Struthio camelus: one gene and its partner. The protein of the gene in region 1 purifies or fractionates together with the protein of each later gene. This does not show direct contact. Links are inferred from orthologs where the notes say so. Each region holds a gene or a part of one and is shown on either strand. Other genes may lie near its edges.

The links.
Region 2: the proteins of CHD8 (region 1) and KPNA5 purify together in Homo sapiens (affinity purification with mass spectrometry; 3 studies listed by BioGRID and IntAct, with this or other methods). This does not show direct contact. The link is inferred for Struthio camelus from reciprocal best matches to the Homo sapiens genes CHD8 and KPNA5.

Annotation. Positions count from the first base shown.
Region 1 is NC_090970.1:64,023-73,974, forward strand, and holds the start of CHD8 (chromodomain-helicase-DNA-binding protein 8), read right to left. Parts: upstream 4,035-9,952; 5' UTR 3,982-4,034; coding exon 3,942-3,981; intron 659-3,941; coding exon 1-658. Other genes in the region: RAB2B (ras-related protein Rab-2B), read right to left, coding at 6,478-7,393, 7,546-7,638, 7,727-7,809, 7,932-7,999, 8,090-8,161, 9,710-9,755. UniProt on the Homo sapiens protein: ATP-dependent chromatin-remodeling factor, it slides nucleosomes along DNA; nucleosome sliding requires ATP. Acts as a transcription repressor by remodeling chromatin structure and recruiting histone H1 to target genes.
Region 2 is NC_090944.1:64,278,729-64,288,259, forward strand, and holds the start of KPNA5 (importin subunit alpha-6), read left to right. Parts: upstream 1-5,115; 5' UTR 5,116-5,418; coding exon 5,419-5,422; intron 5,423-5,693; exon of another isoform or gene 5,694-5,921; intron 5,922-7,501; coding exon 7,502-7,635; intron 7,636-8,799; exon of another isoform or gene 8,800-8,815; coding exon of another isoform or gene 8,816-8,910; intron 8,911-9,531. Other genes in the region: ZUP1 (zinc finger-containing ubiquitin peptidase 1), read right to left, coding at 1,099-1,267, 2,039-2,148, 3,098-3,208, 4,683-4,989. UniProt on the Homo sapiens protein: Functions in nuclear protein import as an adapter protein for nuclear receptor KPNB1. Binds specifically and directly to substrates containing either a simple or bipartite NLS motif.

The DNA of each region.
Region 1 (9,952 bases):
GGTTGGACCAAACGATGGACGGTGGCGGCGCCCGGCCCGGCCGGCGTCACTTTACCGGCTAACACGGCGTTGCCGGAAACGATGGAGACGCCGGGCCGGAGCGGCGTACCCGTCAACACTTTGGCGAAGGTCACCTTGCCGCCGTTGGCCGCCGCCGCCGCCAGCGGCTGGGCCGGCGCTTGGAGCTGCGCCACGTGAGCGCCGGCCGCCGAGCCCCCGGCCGGGGCTTTGAGGATGACGATTTTGGGAGCGGGCAGAGCGGCGGGCGAGGAGGAGGAGGAGGAAGGCGCCGGGGCGGCCACCCCCATGAAGGGGTTGCCTTGGCTCAACACGTCCTGCTCGGGCGGCGCGGGGGCGTCCGTCGGGGCGGCGTCGGGCGCCGGGGCCGCCGGCGTCTCCTCGGGCGGCGGCGTCTCCGCCGGGGCGGCGTCGGACGGCGGCGGCGGCGGAGGAGGAAGAGGAGGAGGAAGAGGAGGAGGCGGCGGCGGCTCCTCCAAGGCCCCCGCCAACCCCAGCGCCTCCTCGATGGGGTCGTGGGGGGCCGGGGCGAAGCCGTCGTCCGTCAGGGCGTCCAGGCCGAAGAGGTTGGGGTCGTCGAAGAGGTCCATGATGGGGTCGGCCATGGCGCCGGGGCGGCCCGGCGGCCCGGCGGTCCCGGCTGCGGGGAGAGCGCGGGCGGTTCAGCCGCCGTCCTGTGCCCCCACCGCCCTCACCCCAACCCCGACCCCCTCCTGCCCCCCCAGACCCCCTGCAATCCCTCCTACCCCCCCCAAATCCCCTCCTACCCCCCTAGACCCCCCTCTCCTACCCCCGGACCCCCTCCTGCCCCCCAGACCCCCTGCAATCCCCCCAGACCCCCTGCAAACCCCCCAGACCCCGCACAGCCCCTTCCTGTTCCCCAGACCCCCTGCAACCCCCCCAGACCCCTGCAACCCCCTCCTGCCCCCCAGACCCCCTGCAATCCCCCCAGACCCCCTGCAACTCCCCCCAGACCCCCTGCAATCCCCCCCAAACCCCTGCAACCCCCCCAGACCCCCTGCAAACCCCCCAGATCCCTGCAACCCCCCCAGACCCCCTGCAATCCCCCCAGAACCCCTGCAATCCCCCCCAGACCCCCAGCTGCCCCCCAGACACCATGCAATACCCCCAAACCCCTGCAATCCCCCCCAGACCCCCTGCAGTCCCCTCCTGTCCCCCAGACCCCATGCAATCCCCCCAGACCCCTGCAATCCCCCCCAGACCCCCTGCAACCCCCCCAGATCCCCTCCTGCCCCCCTAGACCCCCTGCAATCCCCCCAGCTCCATGCAACCCCCCCAGACCCCTGCAATCCCCCCCAGACCCCCTGCAGTCCCCTCCTGCCCCCCAGACCCCATGCAATCCCCCCAGACCCTCTGCAATCCTCCCCAGACCCCCTGCAACCCCCCCAGATCCCCTCCTGCCCCCCTAGACCCCCTGCAAACCCCCCAGCTCCATGCAATCCCTCTCTAGACCCCCTGCAACCCCCCCAGACCCCCTGCAACCCCCCCAGCTCCATGCAATCCCCTCCTAGACCCCCTGCAACCCCCCAGCTCCATGCAATCCCCCCCAGACCCCCTGCAACCCCCCCAGACCCCCTGCAACCCCCCAGCTCCATGCAATCCCCTCCTAGACCCCCTGCAACCCCCCCAGACCCCCGCAACACCCCCCAAGACTCCTGCAACCCCCCTTAGCTCCATGCAATCCCCCCCAGACCCCTGCAACCCCCCCAGATCCCTTCCTGCCCCCCCAGACCCCTGCAACCCCCCCCCCAGCTCCATGCAATCCCCTCCCAGACCCCCTGCAACCCCCCCCAGACCCCCCCCCCGATCCCCCTCGCCGCCCGGCTCCCGCGCACCCCCCTCCCCGTCCTGCAGCCGCCGCTTCCTCCCCGGGGCGGGGGGGGGGGGGCCCAGGCGGAGCCGGGTCCGGTTACCGGCTGCTGCTTCCTTCCCCCCCCCCCCAAAAAAACACACCGCCTGGCAGCCGGGCATCCGCACCGCCTCCCCCCCCCCCCGAAAACGGGGCCCGGAGCGACGCAGGGCGTCACGGGAGCTGCCCGGCTCGGCGGTGACTCAGGGCGAGGCGACGCCGGAGCGAAAATCCATCATGGGGGGGGGTGCTGGGAGCACTGGGAGGGCCAGGCACGGGGGCACTGGGAGCACTGGGAGGGCAGGCACGGGGGCCCTGGGGTGGCCAGTCATGGGGGGGGCGGGCTAGAGGGAGAACGCCCATTAATCGGGGAATGGGAGGTGCTGGGGTGCCCAGTAAGAGGGGGAACTGGGGGCACTGGGTGCCCAGTATCAGGGGCACTGGGGTGCCCAGTAAGAAAGGAGCGGGGGGCAATGGGGTGCCCAGTAAGAAGGGAACTGGGAGAATTAGGGTGCCCAGTATCAGGGGGACTGGGGGGACTGGGGTGCCCAGTCGCAAGGGGGCGGGGTGCCCAGTTGCAGGGAAACTGGGGGCACTGGGGTGCCCAGTATCAGGGGGACTGGGGGCACTGGGCCGCCCAGTAATAAGGAACTGGGGGATACTGGGCCTCCCAGTAACAAGGGACTGGGCAGCACTGGGCCTCCCAGTCACAGAGGGACTGGGGGCACTGGGCCTCCCAGTCACAGGGAACTGGGGGCACTGGGGCTCCAGTTTCAGGGGAACTGGGACTACTGGGCTTCCTACTAATAATGAACTGGGGGCACTGGGGGCCCACTCGCAAGGGAACTGGGATTCCCAGTTGCAGGGGAACTGGGGCACTGGGCCTCCCAGTAAGACGCAACTGGGAGCACTAGGGGGGCCCAGTCACAGGGGAACTGGGGCTACTGGGGACCCCAGTTACAGGGGGCACTGGGGGGCCACCGGGCCTCCCAGTAATAAGCAACTGGGAGCACTGGGGGCCCCAGTTACAAGGAAAACTGGAGGCACTAGGTCTCCTACTAATAATGAACTGGGAGCACTGGGGACCCAGTTACAGGGGGAACTGGGGGCACTGGGGGCCTCAGTGGCAGGGGAACTGGGACTCCCAGTTGCAGGGGAACTGGGGGCACTGGGCCTCCCAGTAAGACGCAATTGGGAGCACTGGGGGGGGCCAGTCACAGGGGAACTGGGGCTACTGGGGACCCCAGTTACAGAAAGAACTGGGGCCACTGGGGACCCCAGTTACAGGGGGCACTGGGGGGCCACCAGGCCTCCCAGTAATAAGCAACTGGGAGCACTGGGGGCCCCAGTTACAGGGGGAACTGGGGGCACTGGGCCTCCTACTAATAATGAACTGGGGCTACTGGTGGGGGCCAGTTACAGGGGGAACTGGGGCCATTGGGCCTCCCAGTAAGATGCAACTGGGAGCACTGGGGGGCCCAGTTACAGGGGGAACTGGGGCCACTGGGGACCCCAGTGGCAGGGGAACTGGGGCCACCAGGCCTCCTACTAATAATGAACTGGGAGCACTGGGGGACCCAGTTACAGGGGGAACTGGGGCCACCGGGCCTCCCAGTAACAAGCAACTGGGAGCACTGGGGGACCCGGTTACAGGGGGAACTGGGGCACTGGGCCTCCTACTAATAATGAACTGGGAGCACTGGGGGGGCCAGTTACAGGGGGAACTGGGGCCACCGGGCCTCCCAGTAACAAGCAACTGGGAGCACTGGGGGACCCAGTTACAGGGGGAACTGGGGCCACCGGGCCTCCCAGTAACAAACAACTGGGAGCACTGGGGGGGCCAGTTACAGGGGGAACTGGGGCCACCGGGCCTCCCAGTAAGACGGAACTGGGAGCACTGGGGCCGCCCAGTCACGGGGTCGCTTCCGCCTCGTCCCCCCCCCCGCCGCCGCCGCCGCCGCCGCCGCCGCCGCCTTCCCGCCCCCCCCGCGCTACGGGAGCCGCGCGGTCGCGCCCACGTGCCCCCCGCCCCCCCCCGCGCGCGGGGCCCTACCGTCCTTCCGCGACGGCCCCCCCCGCCGCCGCCGCGACATGGACGCGCCCCACCTCCCTCCCCCCGCCCGCACATAGGCGGCTGGGAGCGGGCTGGGCTGAACCATCCCGCCTAGCTGGGGGGGGGGGGGGGAGGCGGGAAGGAAGAGACAAAACCTCCGCCGGCGCCATCCCATAATACCCTCCCCCTACCGCCGCGTCGCTATGCCGACCGGAAAATAAAATAGCTTTTTGGGGGTGGGTTTTTTTGGTTTTTTTTTTTTGTTTTTTTTTGGGGGGGTGGTGGTGGGGGGGGGCGGGGGGGAGGGGGTCGGTCTTACCTGGTGGCGGCGGGGAGGGGGGGGCGGGGGGCGTCTCTTCTTTTCCCCCCCCCCCCGCCCCGCGAGTGGCCTCACCCTGCGCGCGGCGCTGCCTCCCTCCCCCCCCTCCCCCTCCTCCTCCTCCTCCTCCTCCCGTCAGGGCAGCGCGAGAACAAGGCGGCCGCGCGGGCGCGGCGCAACGCAACCTGCTGCTCCCCCCCCCCGCCCGCCTTCCCCAGCGCCGCCGCCCTATTGGCCGCCGCCCCGCGCTAGGCCACGCCCCCCTCCCCTTATACAGACAGCGCTGAGGAGAAAAGGGGGGGGAGGAAGGAAGGGGGCGTGGCCTCGGCAGCAGGGTAGGTTGCGCCGCTTCCCGGAAGTCGCCGCGGAGGGGGCCTAGCGCGGGGCTTGAGGGGGGGAGGGGGCTGCCGCCGCGCTGCCTGACGCGCCCCCCCCCGCCGCCGCCGCCTGCGCTCATTCCCCCCCCCACTCCGCCCTCCCCGCCTTTTAATTAGTATAAATAAATAAATATATATATATATGTGTTTTACCGCGGCGGGTGTGCGGCGCTGCGGCGCCGCCGCCGCCTTCCTTGCGCTGGCTGCCCGGCGAGGCGGAAGGGGGCGGCGTGAGGCGGCGCCTCCCGTCAGGCAGCGCCGCGGGCACCTAAGCGCCGCCGCCGCCGCCATCTTGCGGCGGCCCTTAACCCCCTGCCCGCCATGGCGACGCTCCCCCCCCCCCGCCCGCTTCCCCCTCCGTCGCCGCCTACAAACGGCTTTTTTTTTTTTTTTAAATCATCCCTTTTGCGTTAAAAATAAAAACCGTTAAACCCTCCGCGCCCCCCCCCTCCCCGCACTACCGGCTCGCTGTTTTTATTGTTTTTAGGGGTAAAACGCCCCAAATCGACGTTTCCGCGCTGCCGCGGCCTCCTCCCCCCCTCCCGTCCCCAAACGGAGCTGCTTCGGCTTATTTCCACTTTTAAAACAAAATAATAATGTGGGGGGGAAATGAAATAACAAGCGGAAAACAAGCTCAAAAAGCTTGTTTTTTTCTGGAAAATAAGCTCAAAAGTGCCTCCCCCCCCCCACCTTGGGCTCTTATTTTAATAAAAAGCTGTAAAATAGACGCCCGAAGGCGGCTAAACCCCTTAAAAGCCCGAAACGAGCCCCCAAAAGCTCATTTCCGCCCTCAACAAAGCATGTTTTCGTATTTAATAAAATATAAGGGAAAAAAGAGGTAAAAAAAATGATAAATTAGCACCCTGCCCCGCCAGCCGCTTTTTGGTGTTTTCCTAACTCGGGCGTCCCCGAAGCGGCTTTTCCCCGGCAAAACCGTTTCCCCGCAAATTCATGACGGGAGAGGGGGAAAAAAAACCCCAAAACCACCTTTTTGAAACTCAAGCAGCTGTTTGTTGGGGTTTTTTTTTTTAAGGAAAATGGGGGGAAAAACAAAAAAAAGCAAAAATCCTGCTGCTGCTGTAAGTTTTCATCTTTCCCTATAGCGGAAAAAGGAAATGCTTGAGGAAAATGAGGAAAAAGCCCTTTAAAATACTTCATGTTCCTGTTTATAAGGCAGAACAGGTGAACGTGAAACGTCTGCATTGTTTAACAGAAAAAAAAAAGTATATTTTGTGTATGTGTATAGATATATATATATATATATTTTTTTTTTTTTTTTTTTTGCTTTTCTGCACAATTGCTGTGTTTCTGTTTTTTGGGGCGAGGAGAAAGAAGGCGAAACCCTGCGATTTTGGCCAAAGCGCTTTATCCCGACCGCTCGTCCTCCCCTCCAGCGCCGCACGTCGCGCGAGTGAAAAGAGGAGGAGGAAAAAAAAAAAACCCAAAACAACCTGCCCCAGCTCCAAAACTGATGCTCGGCCGCGAGTAGTTTTCCTCACCGGAGCGAAAACGTGTCGGTGGAGGGGGAGGAAACGGGACCGAATCGGGTGGGAAAAAGGGGGGGAAACAGGATTGAATCTGGGGAAAATGAGGAAAACTGAGGAAACGGGCTCAAATCGGGAGGGAAAATGGGGGGGAAACGGGGAGGAAACCAGGATCGAGTCGGGTGGGAAATGGGGAAAATGGGGGGAAATGGGATTGAGTCGGGTGGGAAATGGGGAAAAGGGAGGAAACAGGATCAAATCAGGTGGGAAAATGGGGGGAAATGGGATCGAATTGGGTGGGAAATGGGGGAAACGGGGAGGAAAGGGATTGAATCAGGTGGGAAAACGGGATTGAATCAGATGGGAAATTGGGGGGGGAAATGGGATCGTTCGCGGGAAAGAGGCGACGAGGAGGTTCGGGGCGGGAAATTCCCGTGCCGAAAACATCGTGGTCGGGGCTGGGCCGGGGGATTTACGGAGGCGGCCGGCGTCGAACGACGCCGCGAGCGGTCACGGCGTTTAAAAAAAGAAAACTGAAAAATCAAAAAAAGAGAAAAAAAAAAAAAAAAAAAAAGCTCGTTTACAGGCAGCGGAGACGGCGCTGAAGCGGCAGCGGAGCCGCCCCGGCGAGAAACGCAGCTCGAAGCCGCCGTCTTTTTTCCTCTCCTTTTCCCTCCAACCCAAAACGAAGGGGGCGATTCGTTCAGCAGCAGCCGGAACCGTCTCCCGAGCCCGGAGCGCCGTGTCGGGCGGCGGAGGAAGGCGCCGTCCCCGCGGGTTGCTGGGGACCGATTTTGATGCCGTTGGCCTGGAAAAGGAGAATCGGGGAGAGAGGGGAGCGGGAGCCGCCGCTTCCCTCTGCCCCGCCGGCTCCGGGCGCTCACCTCGTTGCTCACGTCGAACAGGCCCTGCTGGATCTTGCCGTAGATCTCCTTGGCCGTGTCGATAAACGCCTGCCAACGAGAGGCAAAAAAAGGAGGGGGGAAAAAAAGGGGGAAAAAAAAGGAGGAAAAAACAAAAAAAAAAAAAAGAGGGAAAACCAGCTGCCCCCAGTGGCTCTGAGAGGGGATTTCCCACCGGCGAGCAGGAAAGCATAAAGAAATATATACGTATGTGTATTTATATAACCGCCGGCCCCCCCCCCCAAATAATCCCTTCACCTCTTCGACGTTGGCCGCCGTCTTAGCCGACGTCTCCATGAAAACCAGCCCGTGCTCCCGGGCGAAGGCTTCGCCCTCCTCCTTCCGCACGTCCCGCCGCGACTCCAGGTCGCTGCCGAGGCAGGAGACGGATTCGGCCGAGGGGCAGGACGCAAGAAAAGAAAGGGGGGGTGAGGTGGGTGAAAAAAACGAAAAAACAAAAAAACCTCCCTTCTTAGAGTCCGGGACGAGTCTCCGGACTCGCTCTTGTTGTTTTTATTTAACCTCTTGTTCCCGATCAGCATGATGACCATGTTGGAGCTGGAGTGTTGGCGGGCGTCTTCCAGCCAGGACGTCAAGTGGTTGAAGGTCTCGCGCCTGCGCGGGGGCCAAGAGCGATTCGGGGTGGGGGGCGGCGGAGGGGGGACGACGTCGAGGCCGACGCGAGCGCGGCCGGCGGCGATACCTGGTGATATCGTAAACCAGCAGCGCCCCGGCCGCTCCTCGGTAGTAGGAACGCGTGATCGAGCGGAAAGACTCCTGTCCAGCCTGGAAAAAGAGAGATATTTATATATATAGAGAGAGAGAGAGAGTTTTTTGTTTTTTTCTTTTTAAAAAAAAGGGATGGTCCCGATACGCTGCTGTTTTTTCTTTCTCCCCCGCGGCCTCACCGTATCCCAGATCTGCAGCTTGATCTGCTTGTTCTCGACGCTGATCATGCGCGCCCCGAACTCGACGCCTGCAAGAGAGGGCGCGGGGCTGCCGGACGCGGGCTCGGAGGAGCCGGGGGAAACGCGGGGCCGGGCTCCGCTCCGGCCGGGATCCTCACCGATGGTCAGGTCGTGGACGGGCTGGAAGCGCTTGTCGGTGAACTGCAGCAGCAGGCAGGACTTGCCGACGCCTGCGGGCGGACGGACGGACGGGCTCCGGCTCCCTCCGCGACTGCTGCCCTCGATCTCCCCCCAAAAATACCTCCCCCCTTGTTTTCTCCCCCCTCTCCTACATCCTGGCTGCTCCCCACACCCCCAGCTCCCTCCGGCCACCGGCCCCCTTTTGCCTCCCCCCTCAATCCCCCCCCCCAAATGACCCCTTTCTGCCCCCCTCAGGCTCTTCTGCCCCCCTAAAGCCCCTTCCTGCCCCCCCAGAGACCCCTCTTGTCCCCCCAGAGCCCCTTCCTCCCCCCAGACCCCTTTCCTGTCCCCCCAGACCCCTTTCCTGTCCCCCCAAAGCCCCCTCTTGTCCCCCCAGAGCCCCCTCTTGTCCCCCCAACCCCTTTCCTGTCCCCCAGAGCCCTTCATGCCCCCCTAAAGCCCCTTCCTCCTCCCTTAGACCCCTTCCTGCCCCTCCAAAGCCCCTTCCTGCCCCACTTCAGGCTCTTCTACCCCCCCCCGAAACCCATCCTGCCCCCTCAGACCCCCTTTCTGCACCCCCAGAGTCCCATCCTGCCCCCCCAAAGCCCCTTCCTTCCCCTCCAGACCCCTTCCTGCCTCCCCCAGAGCCTCTTCCTCCACCCCAGACCCCTTTCTGCCCCCACAGAGCCCCATCCTGCCCCCTCCAACCCCTTCCTGCCCCCCCAAAGCCCCCTTTTGCCCCCCAAATCCCCTTCCTGTGCTCCCTAGAGCCCCTTCCTGCCCCCCAGACCCCTTTCTGCCCCCCAGAGCCCCATCCTGCCTCCTTCAACCCTCTCCTGCCCCCCTAAAGCCCCTTTCTGTGCCCCCCAGAGCCCATTCCTGCCCCCCCAAAGCCCCTTCCTGTGCTCCCTAGAGCCCCTTTCTGCGCCTTCAAAGCCCCTTCCTTTCCTCCAGACCCATTCCTGCCCCCCTAGAACCTCTTCCTCCACCCCAGACCCCTTCCTGCCCCCCAAAGCCCCTTTTTGCCCCCCAAATCCCCTTCCTGTCCTCCCTCGAGCCCCATCCTGCCCCCCCAGAGCCCCTTTCTGTGCCTCCCAGAGCCCCATCCTGCCCCCTCAGACCCCTTTCTGCCCCCTCAAAGCCCCTTCCTTCCCCCCCAGACCCCTTCCTGTCCCCCAAAGCCCCTTTTTGCCCCCCAAAGTCCCTTCCTGTGCTCCCTAGAGCCTCTTCCTGCCCCCAGACCCCCTTTCTGTGCCCCCCCAGAGCCCCCTCCTGCCCCCTCAGACCCCCTCCTGCCCCCTCAGACCCCCTCCTGCCCCCTCAGAGCCCCTTCCTGTCCCCCCAAAGCCTCTTTTTGCCCCCCAAAGCCCCTCCTGTGCTCCCTAGAGCCTCTTCCTGCCCCCAGACCCTTTTCTGCCCCCCAGACCCCCTTTCTGTGCCCCCCAGAGCCCCATCCTGCCCCCCAGAGCCCCTTCCTGTGCTCCCTAGAGACCCTTCCTTCCCCCCTCAGACCCCTTTCTCCCCCCCACAGCCCCTTCCTGCCCCACTTCAGGCTCTCCTGCCCCCTCAGAGACCCTTCCTGCCCCCCGGCCCGGTACCGGTATCGCCGATGATGATGTATTTGAAGAGATACGCGTAAGACATGATGCCCGGAACCAGGTCCGCCCAGGGCCGCTCTGTCCTCGGAGGCCGGCCGCCTCTACTCCTCCGGCTTCCGGCGGCGCTCTGCCCGCCCCGGAGGCCGCCTCTACTCCTCCGGCTTCCGGCGGCGCTCTGCCCGCCCCGGCGGCCGCCTCTACTCCTCCGGCTTCCGGCGGCGCTCTGCCCGCCCCGGCGGCCGC
Region 2 (9,531 bases), on another chromosome or scaffold:
CAGTAAAGCCCCTACCTCACCTTCACCTCCAACACAATATCCCTTACACACACAGAAATACTTATGGATACTATGTAACCCTTATATTCCCCTCCAAATCTTTTTTTCCTGGAGAAACTAAGGCAAGAAAAGGAGTGGCCAAGCACTTGAGAATTATCATAAATATTTTAAGAAAATACACTGGAAGGGATGTTACAAATCCTTCTTTACTACATAAAAGAACGGTTGGAAATTTTCTTTCCTATTTGGACATATAAGTGCTCAACAGCCCTTTATTGCTGAGCTACTTGTCAAGGCAAACACTTTTTTTTTTAGCCATTACAGATTCCTCTCTGAAGTCCAAATGGCTATCAAGAACGACTACATTGAATGTATTAACTCCACACAATACATTTTCTAGAAGAAATTTCAGTTTACCTGTCAAGACACAAATGGATATTTTGTAACCCCGAGTTAGCAACATAAGTTGAAACACCTCCGAATTGTGGTCTTGGCAAGAAAAGACAGAAAAGCCTGTCGGGCCTTAAACGGGCATTGAGACTATATTTTTGAAAAATTGAAAAACATTTCAGAGAATATATAACAAGTAGATATCCAGACTAGTGCAGTCTTTTCTTGGACTTAGTAATTCGGATGAACATGGCGCTTAATCTGAGTCAAATTTCAACTGATATTATCATCAACTTTTTGTCTTCTGTTTCAGTTACCATAATTGGGAACAGCTAGCTAGGTTAGGAAGCAGAAAATACTAAGAAGTAAACAAACATACCCTCGGGTAAAACAACCTTGTAATACCAAATGCAAACCATATCGTATCTGATCCCTTAAAGAGGCAACTTGATTCCAAGAAAGAAAAAAAAAAAGTCTTCAGCTTAGAATAAAGATTAGAAACATACCAAGCTCATATTTAGTTATTAGTTTAGGACTACGATGTGACAGGTCATTTACCAATCTAGAAAATAACATGTTGAAGTAAGATGCAACCAATATTAAACGTCCAATTATCCAAGTAGTGAAACGCTTTATTAAAAACAGCTTTGGTCACTACAGCATAGGCCTAAAAAGTACACTCTTAGTTGTATAACTTCAGCAGTTTACCTGAGGTCTTTGTTTTGCCATCATCTATACCAAAAGCCAAAGATTCCATCATGTCAGCTTTTCTCTTGTGATATTCAAAAGGCTGCATCCTTCCTCTGTCAACTTCCCTTTCCATATTCTTTAGCAATTGCTGCTTATAGCCTCCAGAATTATCCAAGCCATATTGTCTCTGTTAGGGATGGAATGTTAATCATTAAGATTACGTTTTTTTAAATACACATTCATTAATGACTTAGAAAAGACATACACAATCAGTAGTGCGGAAAAATAGTAAGCAGTGAGATAAAAATCTCCCGATTCATGCGATTTTAATGCTGAAGGCCAAACTCCACTGCAGACCAGGATCATAAGTCTAGGAGAGCCATCCCCAGGAGAGCAGACACCTCCCTCTGCTCTCTCTTGGTCAGACAGCCATCGGCACAGAGGCAGTCAATGGCCAAGAGGTAGCAAGAGAGGGTGGTGAAGCTATTAGGGCTGTTAGGGGGGAGGGACAGGGACATCAGGAGCTAGCAGCGAGGATCTGGGGCCAAGTACGTACCAAAATATGCAATGGTGTCCAGGAAGAGGATAGACAGGATACTCAAGGACTCAAGTAACACAACTCAAGGCAGAGCAAGAGACACGCCAGGGCAGCACAGCATATGCATGGAGTCCTGCAGTGCACGGGCCTCCTCCTGGGCCAGCATCACTCATAGCAGTAGAGCCAAGCAGCTCAAGGCACGCATGCTCAGCACCAGTGCCAGGCTCAGGGTTGCTGAGGGTTTGCATCTGCCTGCAGCGCACTCCTGCATCACTGTCTCAGTACAGCCTGGCTGGCTGTGCAGATCTGACCCGGCACAGCTATCGTTATTTTCAAGAAACGAAACGTTACAGTTTCAAGGTACCTAGCCTCTAATTGCACAACTCTTCCAAATTGTATCATTTAGAAGTATTACTGCACCTGTAGCTTTTTAAATTCTTCTCTCTCTCGCCTCTCTTCTTCTGACCTTTGCTGTTTGTCTTCTTCAGTCTGGAGCCGCTGAGCAAGTTCTAGATCTCTTAAGTTTCCACCTACCCAGGAATAATATTTTACAAAGAGAAGACTTGCTCAGGAGGTTAACAATGCTTTGAATAACCATTTGTTTGATCTTTAAAAATTCTTCTGTAAGTAGACAAACATAAAAACACCTATGTATTAATTTTAGGAGATGCATCCCACGCGATATTGAGATATTAGCAAAGAATACTAGGTAACACCAACGACATTCAGTCTACCAGGACTCAGCTTTCTGATTTACACAAAGATTATGCAGGGTTATAAGGACAGTGATTTTGCCAATAACACATGTACCTCTACTACTAAGAAAACACCTTTTGTTTACTATGTTTCACTTGATTTGTCAGCAAGAAATCCTAATTTGCTGAGTATCACAGATAGCAATGATCCTAGAAGCTCGCAATCTCATAATGACGAGGTGACACAAACAAGCTTAGGGTTGGAGAACTGGACAGAAAACCCATAGGGGGGAAACTGCTAAGAAAAGCAAACTTATTTTGATTCTTTTCATTATCTCTATAACTAGGTAATCAGCACAACCATTTAGAGAAGAGAATTGGAAAAAAAAATTAGAAATTTTAATAAGCTGTTGCTTTTAAACTCATGTTACGCTAGAGTGTGCCAATCCAAGTTCCACATATGTAAATCTTCTATAGAGCTGGGGAAAAAAATGGTAATTTGTAAAATATTTTTCCCTCTAAGTTTTATTTTGCCCATGATAGAGCACATTTATTTAATAAACCTGCACAGACAGATACTTCTTTTAGCATGTGCAATTAAACAGAGCACTCAAGCATGTGATAGGACTTGCTATTCACTATGTTAATTACATTAGGGAGGCACAGTTTTCTTTTAAAATAAGGAAATATTTAGTTGAAATTTTGCCTTTGCCTAAGATTCTATACAGCAACAGACAGTTTAAAACACTCTCAAATACTATCAAGCTTACATCCTTTCACATACCTTCTGAAAAGCTATGTTCCTCTAAGTGTAAATCCACGTGTTCTTGGAGAATCTGAACATCTGTACAGGTAAGACTGCACATTGGACATTCATACAGCTGTTCGCCATTTTCTGTGTTTGAAAAAGAATTGCCATTTCATGCTTGATATAATTCTTTTTTCTTCTTCTTTTGCAAGAATCATCCCCTTCATTGATGTACATAGTCCATAATGCACAATGTACATAAATACACAGTAACGAATTTGGTACTATTAAATTCCCCACGGAGAGACAACAAAACACCTACAGCTCTCTTAACCTAGAGCAAAATATAATTAAGGATTCATACTTAAGAATTCATATTTAAATACCTGACAAGTTCATCGTAAGAGAGATTTTCTTTCTTTTTCCGAACAAGTTTTTCCCCTTTTAACCTACAGATCACTATTTGCTGTGATAATACTTGCACTTAGTCTGAAATACTAGATGTTTAATAAAAACATCTGTCCTGCTAATGGAGGAATGCTTGCTTATAATTCTTTAATGTTTGTGTGATAATACAGCAGCTGGTACACAACAAAAATAAAGTTAAAACGTCTTCTCATTCTTATTTTGTTGTTTTATCTGCATCTCCTGAAATAAATAGTCTGTCTGTAGTTTTAGTATTACTAAAGAGTATCACAGAATCTTAGAATAGTTTAGGTTGGACAGAACCTCTGGAGATGATCTAGACGAGCCCTCTGCTCATAGTATGGTCAAGCAGAACAGGTTAGGTTGCCCAGGACCACGTCCAGGTAAGTTTTGAATATCTCAAAGGACACCCCCTCATCAACCTCTCTGGACATCCTGTTCCAGTGTTTGACCACTCTCAAAATGTAAAAAAACCCAACCAACCACACAAACAAAAACAACAAAAGAACCCCACTTATGTGTAAATAAAACTTCCTGTATTTCAATTTGTCCGTATTGCCTGTTGGCCTACCACTGGGCACTACTGAGAAGAGCATGGCTCCACTTTTACTGCTCCCATGAAATATTTATACACACTGATGAGATTCTACCCCCGGCTAAGCCTTCTCTTCTCCAGGCTGAACAGTCCCAGCTCCCTCAGCCTCTCCTCCTACCAGAGATGCTCCAAGTCCCTTAATCTTTTTCGTAGCGCTTCACTGGACTCGCTCCAGCAGGTCCATGTCTCTCTTGCACTAGGGAGCCCAGCACTAGACAGAGCACTCCAGGTGCAGCCTCAACTGTACTGAGCTGAACAGACTCTTCAAGAGACTCTCCCTATCAGCTTCACTGTTTGCCTCCACGAGCGATCCTGGAGTACTCGAGCCAGTTCCTCTGCAAGAGGCCCTTGGGGAGCGCCCCCAAGGCCCTGCAGCCGCAACAGGGCGCTCAGTGCCTTAGACGGGGAATAAAACCGCCACAGCGCCCAAAGCGCGACTCTCGGCACCACCCCCGGCGTTTGCCCTCCGCACCTCACCGAGGCGGCCGCGACCAGCGCTAACCTCAGCACGGAGCCAAGCAGGACGCCGAGGCTCCCTGCTGGGCGCACGGCCCGGCCCGGCCCGCCGGGGGCCGCGGCAGGCCGCCCGCCGCCGCTCACCTGTTCCCGGGAGGCCCAGCAGGTGCCCGTGCCGCGCCCTCACGTGCGCCTCCAGCTCCCGGCCCGCCGCCGCCTCCCCGCAGAAAGGGCACTCAGGCGGCTCCGGGGCGGGCTCGGCGCAGCGGGCGCCCGGCGGCCCCGGCTCCGGGTGCGCCGCCTCGATGTGCCGGTGGAGCTCGTCGTAGCCCGGAGCGGCGGCACCGCAAAGCGGGCAGCGGGGCAGGCGCTCCAGGTGCGTGCGCCGCAGGTGCCGCCGCACCGCCGCCTCCGAGGGCAGCGCCTGCCCGCAGATATCGCACACCAGCATCGCGGCGGCGCCGCCGCCGCCGCCAACGGCCGCCAACCGCCCCAACGCGGAAATCGAAACACTCTCGACTTCCGCCCCACGGCTGCCCGAACCCGCCGCCGGCGGAACCACGTCACGCGCCTGCGCAGTGCCACAGCCAGTGAATTCTGGGAAGTGTCATTTTCTCGCTGGGGCTGCCCCAGGCGTTTCCTCCACCCACCACCCCTACCCCTCCCGGCCCGGCCCGGCCTGCCGCCGGCGCGCAGAGCCTGCTGGGAGCGGAGAGCCGCCCACCAGCCGGTGCGGAGCGCGGCGGGGCGGCGTCCGCCATCTTGAACTGCGAGTCGTCGCTGGGTGCTGCGCTGCGAGGAGGAGCGGAGCGGAGAGGGGTTATCTCGCCGGGGGGGACGGCGCCAGTGGTCGACGTGGGCGCTTTCCGTCTCCGCTTCAATGGGTAAGAGAGACGGAGCACCGAAAGCCGATGGGTAGAAGAAGGAGCTGTTCGCCGCTGGCGGGGAGCGGTCTGCTCTGCCTGGCCGGCCCGGCCCGGCCGGCGGCGGCGGCAGGGCGGGAGACTCGGTCCCCGCCGGTCGGCGCGGTCAGGGCCGGGGCGGAGTCCTGCCGTGCTGTTCCCTGCCGCCTCCCCCGCCGGTGGGCTGCTTCCTCCGGTCTCCGTGCCCCGTTGCCCGGGCGGTGGGGAGGGAGCCTTTTCCACTCCCTTTCAGAGGACGTGGGTGAAATGCGTCGTTGATCTGTCTCTCTGGCCGGCGAGGGGACTGGCGGTGTGGCACAGCCGAGCACCGGCTCTCGTCGTTTGGCGGCCCGTGCAGCCTCCCTCAGCTCTGCGGGACGGGGAAGCGGCGGCGATCCTGCACGGCCCGGTGCTTGGGGAGCCTGATGTGACAGGGAGAAAAGATCTGTTTCTCAGGCAGGTCTTAGTCTAGGCACAACAGGTGGGTGTGATACACAGTGTGGCTGGTGGAGGGATTTAGTGCTAAAGTGAGTACGGTTTAGCAGGGAAGTTCAAAATTTCTTGAATGTAGATGCAAAAGTTGTGAAGCATGAACAGATAGGGACTTCCAGTTTTTCCGACTGTATAACACCCATGAAAAATCTTTGTCGGCACGAGGGTATAATTTTGTTGGATTACTTTTAACCTAGCACTTCTGTTTGTTTATTGCTTGGCCTGACAGTTTTATTGGCACAACTGAATTGGCAGGACATGAATGGCTAGAGAGGTGAAGTGTTCTGGAACTAGTTAAGCCAGTCTTGTCCAAAAAATGCTCTTGTGAAATTGTACCTCGAAAGTCACAAGACAGTTACAGGAAAATTACTTCGGAAGGTGGCTCAGTTAGCCGTGGTCCAGAGATGGCAGTAGTTTACCAGGGCTCTCACCAGCCTAATGCGTTTGGGTGGAACAGGCTGCTCAGTCCTCGGAGTGTCTTGTTGGTGCTAACCTAAATCTGTGGACTGATATCCTCTCGTGGCTGGTGTTTGTTACTGAGCAGCCCTCGATACTGATATAACAAAGCCTCAGCATGAGAACGGCCTGCAGCTCAAGAACTGTAGTTCAAATATTCTTATGCCTTAGCTGTTCTTTTGTTGTGAAAGAATTCCAGACAAATCAGTTTGCTTAGAGTCTTGAATCGTATTTTTCACAATTAATTATTTGTCAGATGAAAGCTTCAGTTTCAGCTTTAAAAACAAGCACCTTGCTGTTAAACAAATTTTGTCAGTCAGTTACATTTGATCATTTCAGTGACAGAATCGTGCTGCGTCACTTTTATCTTTCCAGAACCAATATGCCAAAGTTGACAGGCAGATACTAATCTTCATTATACATCAGAAGAACTGATAATTAAAATGAGTCAATCACTTTGTTAGTTTAAAATGGAAAAGGATAGACCTATCTGGGTGCTATTGACCCTTAATTTGGTTTCTCTGCAGTGTTTTTGTTTTTCTATATATAGATGAGAGAAGAAAATGTAAGATAACTTTTAGATCCTTTATTATGTTTTTGAGGTAGGCATCTTAAAAAAGTGAAGAGACAGTACCGTATGATGTTAAATGAAGGAATAATTATTGCAAGTTTTCTTCTTGGATTTGTTTTTATTTTATTTTATTTTATTTTGATACACCTAATTCTTCCTTTTGAAGAGGAGGAAGTGAATTCCTGTACTTGCTGATAGAGTGGCAGACAATTATTCCCTTAAATTTTAGATCAAAATTTAGCAGTGTAGTGTTCTCGGTGTTTGTGTCTCGTAAGACAAGCAACTTAATTTTGAGTACTTTAAGCCATTTAATTAAGTGCCTGATCCCTGAGAGGAACTGTAGTTTAATCTGCAATTAAAAATGCATATCTAGGCAATGATTTTTCTCTAATTTCTATTTTGAAGATTTTTTTGAATGAACTAGGCATTGCTTACAACTGCAGGAATACATTTTGCTGCTATGGGTATTTTTGCAGTAAAAGAGATGGCAGGTTTGTCCTTTAAGGCTTGGCCTTTTGAGGTAATTTTTCTTTTTTTAATAGACAACATGGCAAGCCCAGGGAAAGATAACTTCAGAATGAAAAGCTACAAGAATAATGCGCTCAATCCCCAAGAAATGCGTAGGCGAAGGGAAGAGGAAGGAATCCAGCTTCGGAAACAAAAAAGGGAAGAGCAGGTAAGCCTCTCAATGAGATATTAACTGTTAAGGGTTTATGAAGTTATAGTCAGGTCGGTGAAGGGATTCGAGCAGGCTCCTGTGGAGTAGAATCCAGAGAACCAGGCTAAATATCCGCTTTCTGTGCGATCTTGGTGAGTGCCAGGCACCTTTCCGTAGGATCGTAAAACAAAGAAGTGAACAGAGGCCCTCTTAAGTCATTGGGGAATACCAATGAGAAATCCATATCTTAAGTTTAATCTCTACTCTAAGTTCAGACATATAAGAGCTGGGTGAAAGGAGGAGCTTAATTCAGATAAGGTTTCAACATTCTCTTCTAGAGTTTGGGCCGAAGTTGTACTGTTAAAAGTGAGAGGGTTATTTTGTCTTGGAACCCATGCCTCAAATTGCTCAAGAGCTTTTCATAAAGTAGGTTAGTACTGTGGCTTCCAAATGACAGTCCCTAAACTATTTTAAATAATATTTTCAGTTGTTGTCATTGAATTTTTAGTGATGAGAGTACATAGAGTATTGTGTAATTTTATGGCTGGCAGTAGTCCCTGTTCCCCAAATGTTTCAGAATTCTTTTCCAGGAAAGCAAGGAAAGGTTTGTTATTCTCCTTGGTTTCAAGTGGCTGACTCCTGTCTCCCACAACCTAGAGAGTGTCCCAGGCACTGATCTACAGCCTCCTCTGAGGTGGGAATGCTTACCCTTCTCCTGGGAAAGTGATGCTGGAAAATGAATTTAAATTAGTTGGGCCAGAGAGGTAAGAGTAAGAAGTAGTAAGGTAATGGAGCATTTACTTGTGAATGGGTTCACCTGAATGTTAGTATCTCCTGAAAGGTTTGTTTGTGTATTTTTCTAGTAAATTATTCTCAGATAAATTATAAGAATAGTAGGTGGTCCTTGTCTCATGCTGAGTGTCGTCCGACTGAGAATATTCTTGTGGTGTCTTTCTTCTTAATTTCTGGAATAGTATTTTCAGCTCCTCTCACACTGAGGGAACAAATTATACAAGAAAAAGATTGCTTTTGTGCCAGGTAAAGTTAGAACTGGTAGATGCACTGTGCTTGTAAACAGAGCAGTTAACAGGTTTCAACCAAGAGCTTCCACGCTCTTGCTGAGTGCTAGAAAGAATGGCTGATCTTACAAAAGAACAATATTGTCTCTCCTTCCATTTCTAGGTTTCAGTGGAATTGAATGCAATTGTTTTGTGTCCAGGATTATACCGAATTTGGGAGTTGTGCGTTGAACAAGAGAGAGCATGCGTTTTGTTTTAAGATCCTCTTTGACATGTGGGTAGAAGTAAATATGGAGTTGCTTAAGCAGTTTTGGCCATGTGCCATAGCAGAAATGTAGGTGTCTAGACAACTTTGAAGACAAAATCTTCAGGATTAAGTAGGCTGTTTCGTTATTATACTTAAGAGGTGAAATCCTAGACAGTGAATAGATTGAGATTTTAACATTTATTTTTAAAGATATTGTCATAGTATTCGTAGAATGGTTAATTATAATAGTTGTAAGTGTAGTACTGAATTGAAGATACAAATACAGGTTTGGTTTCTAGAAGCAAAACAGGCTAATGTGAATGTTCTGTTTGTATGCCAGGAAATGAAGAGGTACTTATTAAGCATACTCATTAAATACTACAGTTCAGTAGTATTAATTTTTTCAGTACAGTATGTGTTTAGAGTATAGGCAGTGCATAAAGCCAATGTTAAAGTGGTTTTGGATATCGTGAATGTTTCAGGTTACGTCTTTAGAAAATTCACCTTGAAGCTACGCTGTTTTTTCTCCATCTATATTAAAATAATGTTTCTGTTTTAATTTTTCTGCAACTGTATATTAAATGTGGTTACCATTTAATTATCTTGTAAAGAAAGTGCATAGATCTTAGACTTCCTGTGCTGAATGTT